Oryzias latipes: one gene and its partner. The protein of the gene in region 2 interacts with the protein of the main gene of each other region in a biochemical or structural test. Links are inferred from orthologs where the notes say so. Each region holds a gene or a part of one and is shown on either strand. Other genes may lie near its edges.

What was found. The genes of interacting proteins can lie anywhere in the genome.
Region 1: the proteins of upf2 (region 2) and regulator of nonsense transcripts 3A form a complex in vitro, tested with the Homo sapiens proteins (2 studies listed by IntAct, with this or other methods). The link is inferred for Oryzias latipes from reciprocal best matches to the Homo sapiens genes UPF2 and UPF3A.

What each region holds. Positions count from the first base shown.
Region 1 is NC_019879.2:7,277,816-7,282,191, forward strand, and holds the start of regulator of nonsense transcripts 3A, read right to left. Parts: upstream 2,945-4,376; 5' UTR 2,896-2,944; coding exon 2,758-2,895; intron 1,168-2,757; coding exon 1,061-1,167; intron 961-1,060; coding exon 854-960; intron 702-853; coding exon 603-701; intron 1-602. UniProt on the Homo sapiens protein: Involved in nonsense-mediated decay (NMD) of mRNAs containing premature stop codons by associating with the nuclear exon junction complex (EJC) and serving as link between the EJC core and NMD machinery.
Region 2 is NC_019881.2:22,253,036-22,256,682, reverse strand, and holds part of upf2 (regulator of nonsense transcripts 2), read right to left. Parts: intron 1,783-3,647; coding exon 1,634-1,782; intron 595-1,633; coding exon 487-594; intron 421-486; coding exon 319-420; intron 239-318; coding exon 65-238; intron 1-64. UniProt on the Homo sapiens protein: Involved in nonsense-mediated decay (NMD) of mRNAs containing premature stop codons by associating with the nuclear exon junction complex (EJC).

The DNA of each region.
Region 1 (4,376 bases), on a different chromosome or scaffold from region 2:
TAGTGGGGTCTAGATGACCCAACTCCCAATGTTAAAGTGCCTAGGATAGCACAAGGGTTAAAAACACCACAAACACAATTTTCATAGGAGTGGATCTTAAAAAAATATTGGAAGTACATCAAACAATGATAAATATTTTTGTGCTTTTATTTCTGATGTGTACTACAGTTTTTTTTTTTTTTCCTGGAGACTATGTGTTTTCTTGGAGTGTGAAAACTCGCATTGTGGGGAAAAACATGCTAGCTAAAGAGACCTGGCAACAATGCTTCATTTGGATGATGGATTTACTAAACTCATAAATCAGGAAATGTATTTTAGATGCATATCTGCATCAGAAAGGAATTTTCAACAATGGAAGGTGAGACTGAAAGACGGACATACTTGAGCAAAATTTGTACTTTTTGGTCTTCCATCACTCAAAAACAAATATATATTGCTCTTAGTTTACATTTTTTTTAAAGAAAAACATTCACATTTTAGATTTCTTACTTTAGCAACAATATATTTGTCTTAAATATAAAAAACTCACACAGACGTATTTATATGCAGCAATTAGCAAGAACATATTAGAAATAGCTAAATTCACAAGAACATTTTAGTACCTTCTTCAATGCTTCCAGTTTTGGCATCCTTCTTTTTCAGTTTTTTCTTGGAAATCTTCTGAAAGGGGGCAAACTCCACCACTGCAGGATATTCTTGACCTAAAAATTTTTTTTTTTAATTTGTTATTTAGCAGATAATCAAGTTAATAGTTTAACTTAAAGGCCATAAATGTGCCTACAGAGAATATTACAGTTTGTGTTTTGTTATTTGTAGTTATTATAAACAAAGTCAAAGAAATTTGAACCAATACCTTTGTTGTCGATAAAGACGTAGCCGTCAAATCGATCCCTGAACAACACGATATCCTCAGTGTTTTTAAAATTGATATATGCTCTTGAAAAAAGGTGGGGATACAGACTGCAATAAAAAAAGAAGGAAAAAAATAAAATTAAGAATATAAAACATATTTATTGAAAAAATGAGTAGTTTTTCAAACAAGTAATAAATCACAACACACCTTTGATCTGCTGAGAAGAACTCAAAGTAATCATACGATGGGAGCGGACTTAGTTGTTCTTCAAGCTGTTCTTTTGAAAGGTTAGGTGGCAGTCTTCTGATCACAACCTGTGTACAACCAGTTACTCCAAGGTTATTAACTGCTGTTCTCAATGAGTGTAAAGTCTCTCCACAAACTTTCAGAATTAACTTTATTTAAAAAAAAAAAAAAAACTATCAGTCCTGACCAAAAGCTTGACAAGTTCAAACATTTTTTTCAAATCATTACCGACTCATTTAAGCAGACTAATAAAACTAAATACTGGAACCTGTAAAAGAAAGATGCAGGATATGACATGGAATACACAATTATTTTAAATGTAGTTAAAGCTACAACAAAAGTATTTCTGTATGATACTTTTAAAAATGTATTTGGCTAGTTTTCAAAATATGTTTATCCTACTATATAACAGCATCAAAATGGGCAACAGTCAACAGACAACAAATCCTGAAGTGCAACAGGATATGCAGAAAATTAAATAACCAAAAAATAAAAAAAAGATGTTTTGAGTGACATGGAAAGATCTTTTAAGTTATTTTACTGATTTCTCACCCTTGTTTGTTTCCACATTTTAAATATTCAATTCCTGAAAACAGTCTACTGTGCCAAAAGAATAATAGAAACATGTCCTCGTCGGCCTGTTTTATTACTGCTGCCACTTAAAAATGAGTGCAGTTGTTTTTAAACAAAGCAGGTTAAATTTATTGACATGGGTTCAGAAAGCATTATGAAATAGTTAAAATAGGGGTCTGCAACTTAAAGCTCCAGACCCACATGTGGGTCTTTTACCTTTCATAGTAGCTCGCTGGCTAAAGACAAATAAAATGATAGTAATTACATCCTAAAGTGAGGGTTTGTCTGTTTGATTTATTTAAATTTGTTAGGTTTTATAAAATCACAGGTCCAGTACCTGTGATTCTATATTTTGTCTATTGCATCATAAAATAATAAAGTCATGTTCACGCACGCACACACACATACACACACACACACACACACATATATATATATATATGTCAGCAGCAGTAATAGGAGTTATAGGGAAAAGGTGCCCACCAAGGAAGACCTAGGTTATAACAAGAGAAAATGCCTTTATTGACTCATTGTTTTAAAATTTGATAGGAGTGTACTAGCGACACAGGAATGACCCTATTAGAATATATTTTATTTAAAAGAAAGACATGCAATTCTTCATCAAAATAAAAACAAAAAAACAATTTCATTTTTTTCCAATAATTTTTCTCTGACAGCTTTTAATTTTAGTCAAGCCAAATAAATAAGTGGATAAATACAATTTCAACATATTTCAACAGTAACAACGATACGAATGCAGAGCAGTGTCAAAATATGTGAAAGGGTAAAAAAGACTTTAGGTAATCCGTGAGAAAAAGCCCAAATGGCTCTTTTGGTATTAAAGGCTGCTGACTCCCACTGTTTGTTCCGTCTTTCATTTTTAAAAGATATGGAGCCACATAATGTGACATTGTTGTGAGGTAAAGATGAAATATTTGCTAAACATAGTGGAAATGATTGAAAATCGTGCATTTACAGTCTTTTTCGCTGTCCTCGGTGCTGAAATGATCAGCCACTTCCTCCATGTCTGTTGTCTTCATCAAGAGTAAACAATACGGCGCGTACCAAAACGCTGCTTCACTCACCTTTGAAAAGACCTCCTTCTTCTCTTCTTTTTGTTTGAGATGGCAACCTGGGCTCTCCTGCTCTCTTGGAATGTCCTTAAATTGTATTTCGACACTTTTCTCCGTGTCCACGGCCATTTGGTCCTTTTCAGACCTCATTTCTCTACATCTCCTACGAGCTGTGTGCTCGCGATAACTCACGAAAGTTATCGCGAGAGTACGCGTAGATCGATGTTGGATGCGGGTGTTATGTTTAATGAAAACATATATTTGAGTACTTTAGTTACATAATGATGTTATGTGTGACCTTCATTAACACTTATTTTGTAACGAGTAGAAGAAAAAGGCAAACAATAATTCAATACATATTTTGACATAAACGCTGTTCATCTCCATATGCTCCCTCTTCTTACCGCGCAGCTGGGATGATGATCTACGCGATCCGTTCGCCATCGCTTGTGATCGGATTACTGGAAACTGCGCTTCCCTCAAAGCTGGAGGACCGAATCACTGACAACCCCTGAACATCTCGAGAGGGAACTAGAGAAAACAGAACCAAAATGGAGAAACCACATATTTGTTAAAGTTTCATATGGGACAGGAATATTGATTACAAACTGGTAGAGATATTTTTGTTTTGACGAAAACATTTATTTGACAATTTTTTTTAATTATTTTTTATCAGTCTCACCATTTAAAAACGCCTGCTTCCCGCTGCTGTTCTCGGCGCGCACTCGGGGTCTCTCCGGTGTGGAAACGGAGCTCCTCAGGCTGCTGGAGAGGAGCGTGGAGCAGGTGTCCAGATCCCTGCAGACCCGCTCATTAGTGCAAATACCTGTGGACTTGGACGGAGTACAACCCATCCCTCCTCCAGAAACAAACACTCTTAGATCTAGTGGTGGAAAGACAGTCAGGAAAGGATGGTGGGATGTTGCCCCTTCAAGCAGAAGTCTCTCCTCCCCTCACATGGAAGACAGAGGACTCTTCTAAACAGACAAGAAGTTAGCCTCAGTCTCAGGAGTTAATTTGAGCGCACAAAAAGCTCAATGGTTCCCACAAATTGCTAAGGCAGCCCTGTGACCCCGAAAGGGTACATGGATTCTGCGGACACAATTTAGTATTTTGTGCACACAAATTTGCATTTTATGGCCACAATTTGGTATTTTGTGCACACAAATGAGCATTTTATGACCACAATTTTGGATTTTTTTGCACACAAATTGCGACAGACTGGCGAGCTGTCCAGGGGGTCCCCTGCCTTCACCCACAAGTTGGCGGGATAGGCTCCGGGAGCCCTGTGACCCCGAAAGGGTCAAAATGGAAGATGAATGAATGCACACGAATTTGCATTTGCGGACACAATTTAGTATTTTGTGCACACAAATTTGCATTTTATGGCCACAATTTAGTGTTTTGCACACAAATTTACATTTTGTGGCCACAATTTGGTATTTTGTGCACACCAATAAGCACTCTGATGCCACAAATTAGTAGTAAGTGCACAAATATTAGCATTTTATGGCCACAATTTGGTGTTCTGAACACAAATTTGCATTCTGATGCCACAATTTAGTATATTGTGCACACAAATTAGAATTCTGGGGCCACAATTTGGTGTTTTTGCACACAAATTTACATTT
Region 2 (3,647 bases):
GGGATGAAAAGCAACCAGGGAACCGACTGGAGTGTAGAATGTGGGTCTGGAGCCAAACCTTTACCTGCTGCTTGTTGCCTTTGCGCGTCAGCATGACGAACTGCATGGTGTCCGAGCCCTCCGAGTCTCCCTCCATGATGCACTGCTGTCCAGATCCGCTCTTCTTCAGCTGACTCTTCAGCTGCAGCGGGATGGCCACGTCCAGCTGGTGCACCTTCACCGCCTCCCCGCTGCGCTGCTGTGGCGTCAAAATAGAGGAATCTCGTCAACGTCGCCGGTTCCCTGCGGCGCTGTTTTAGGAGTGCAATCCAGGCTTACCTGCAGGTTCTCCAGCATCATCTTATCCAGAGCCTGAATGAAGTCCTCATCTTCAGCGCACGCCACGTGCTTCAGCCCGCCGCCACGGATGGTCACTTCCTGCTGACGAGTCAAAGTGAGAGGCGGCTCTGCAGCTTCACGGCTGCTCGGAAACTGGACCCCTCTTACATTGTTCTCCTCATCAGTCTCATTTTCTTTATTGGAGTCGGTCAGATAGTCTGTGTTCTCCTCTTCCTCCTCCTCATGCTCCTCCTCCTCCTCATTTTCTGACCCTTCCTGTGATGAAAAACAGTGAAAAAGAAACACAGGAGGAATGATTTTCATCTGAAATCAAACTCTGATGCACCTCCTTTGATTTCCTGCTGTCACTAAAATAAATACTTCAAAGCGCTTAAAGCGGAGAATGAAGCTTTCATTCAACACTGGAGATAAAAGAACGAGCAAAGTTAATGAACACAGCAGCAGTTCCCTCAGCTGAACGTGCGAGCATCGCTGGACTTTGGCTCCTTCCTGGTGTTTTACTCAGAAAAATACCTTGAAGAAAAGCAAACACTGTCGCAGCCGTCGGCTCTGGAAAACACCTGCCTTCACGTCAAAAACAAAGAGAAACTTGAAAACGAATTCTTCACATTAAGAGCGTGACTCTGCACCAGCAGCTCTTCTCCAGCCTTTTTCAGCCCATCAGTGAAAACATCTGACACCAAATCACTCAACTACATATAGAAATGATCATATAATGATATATAGATACATTTTCTTTACTGATGACTGTTTTTACTTTTTTATCTTTGAGCATAAAAATGAACGTTTCCTAATTTATTACCAAACTGTGATCGATGAGACTTTTTAAAGGCGGATTCTCGAGGAGTTCGGAGGCGAAAGAAATCCCTAGGTGGAGTTGGAGACGGTAATTTTTCTGGAAATTTCACCATGGCGAGGTCAAAGGTCAACAAAACTTCAGTTGTGGCTGTAGACTTACAGTGTATGGGTGCGATTTGGGGAGTGGGAAGTTTTCTCTTCCCATATTGTGTGAAAAATCGTCAAATTTCACACTTTGCCACAAAGTGGCCGTGATGCCGTAGTGGCCATCCCATAATAATTTTTAACTTTCCTTTGGATATCCTCGACACGTGTGTTTTGGTTTCATTCTTCAATTTTGACCAACTTTCTTTGATTTGTTAACCAATCGTTTTCTTTGGTGGTTTCTCCCGATGTGATGATGATTTAAAAACTATATTTCTGGAGATGAATTCAGCGTCTCAGAGTCCAGAGTGACCGGTAGGGCGGCGAACATCTGAGGAGCGCAGGAACTCACGTCCTCCTCCTGCTCGTTCATTTCACTCTCATTTCCCGACTGCTCCTCCGTCTCAGCACCACCCTCCTCCTCATCGTCGTCGTCTTCCTCGTCCAGACCCTCGCCCTCGCTCATGGCGCTGGAGCGGCCGTCCTTCTCTGCCGCCAAACCTTAGGGAAAACACACACAAAAAAAGGGGCGTCGTTCTTCAGGTTTCATTCCTCTTTGATGACTTCCACGTTTGGACTCAGGAGGTGATGAAGAACCTCAGCTTCATGGAGCAAACGAGGGGCAGGAGCTGCAGATCAGGTACTGCTGTAGAATGTGATCCAACAAGCTGATGGGAAAAAACGGCGCCGCTGTTCGGCTCCGAAGAACCTTCTCTGCCGCCGGAGGTCCAACCTCCGGCTCTGAACAGAGACGCCTCCAAAAAAAGCTCAGAACCCGGACTTTGGAAGGTCACTTTGATATTTTTGGCGTCCGCAGTTCCGCTCCAGCTTCCGGAGGCCGCGGATCAGCTCGTCACGCTTTCTTTCCGCATTCCACGTCAACAGCTCGAGGGGGCGGAAGAAGGATGAGCTCAGCCGGACGCACCTGTAGGAGCGACCCCGCCCTGCTCCCTCAGCATTCCTGAACGCCGTGACCTCACTCCGGCACGCAGAGCTGCTCCCTCTTTCAGCCGCCTCGGTTTATTTACGACGGCTTTGAGCGTTTGATCTGGAGCTTAAAAATCAATTAAACTGCGTTTTTTCAGGCGGCGCTCATCAATCCGGACGCTCCGGAAGGTTAAAAACAGAAACCAAAACAAACGGCGTCTGAAACCGTGACGCCATGCTCCTGAGAGCAGCAGCATCATCACTAAAGTCATCCAGAAGATGAGACTCTGTTCATTTCAATAATCATCAGAAAACAGAACAGCAACAAAAAACACCACAACTTTATGAACCAAATACGGAATATTTCCATCTATAAATATAAAATCAAAAGGAAAAATGTGGTTTCAGAGGTTTCTATGTTGGTTCGCTGATATTTAGGGTTACATTTTATTCTGTTTTTTAATTAATTCTAATGTGAAATGATTGAAAAGATTAACCACTTTTTAATCACCTTCATGAATATTTTTTGTTTTAGGTGAAAATGTTACCTGACAGCCCCCTAAACTGAATGACTGTTTCAACTTCCATGTTTGTAAAACTGCAGGTCAGTTTCTGGAGATAAAACTTTCAGCTTTTTCAATAAAACCGTTTAAAGATCCGCTCAGATAAAAAAAACGTCCTTTTGGAGAGAACGTGGAGAGGAAGGGGGGCGGAGTTGTTCTGTGCCAACAGTCACAGCTTAAAGGTGAATTTGAACTCCTGCCGCTCTGCAGAAACTATGTCCTAGAAAACAACAGGTTTTTTGATTTAGGCTGAAAACAGCAGAACAGGGGTAAAAAGAAAAAAGATCAGAGGATGATGAGAGTGGAACTTTAAGATTATTCAGACCGGACCTTCAAGTCTAACGTTAAGAGTTCAGATTATTGTTCTGCTAACCCAAAACTTATAAAACGACGGAGGGAATTCTGCTTTAGGATTTTCTAATAGAGCGCAGTAACACACCATCACAATGCCACCACCATGGCTAAAGTGTGTTTGGATTGACTCCAGATATTTGGATGTCAGTCCGGATGTCCCTCTGTGTTCCTCCTTCCTCCTTCAACTTTACGGATCCACGTTGGTCCTAAAACACATCAACTCTGACCTGAACTGAGTCCAGTGAGGCCTGACCTTCTGCTTAGAGTCCTCCTTGTGTTCTTTAACCTGTAACCTGGCTGGGGAGGTTCTTCACTGCTTCAGGTTCCAGGAACTTTGGTGGAACTGAAATTTTGTTCTGATTCAACTGAATGGGGGTGGGTGTGTGTGTGTGTGTGTGTGGGGGGGGGGGGGGGGGTACGTCTTCCACAGACTGGAAGGAGAATCTCTCCAGATCAGATCAACAAACCAGATCGGCCCACGACCTTCACCACCAGAGGAGCATCTGATGACATGATGCCAAA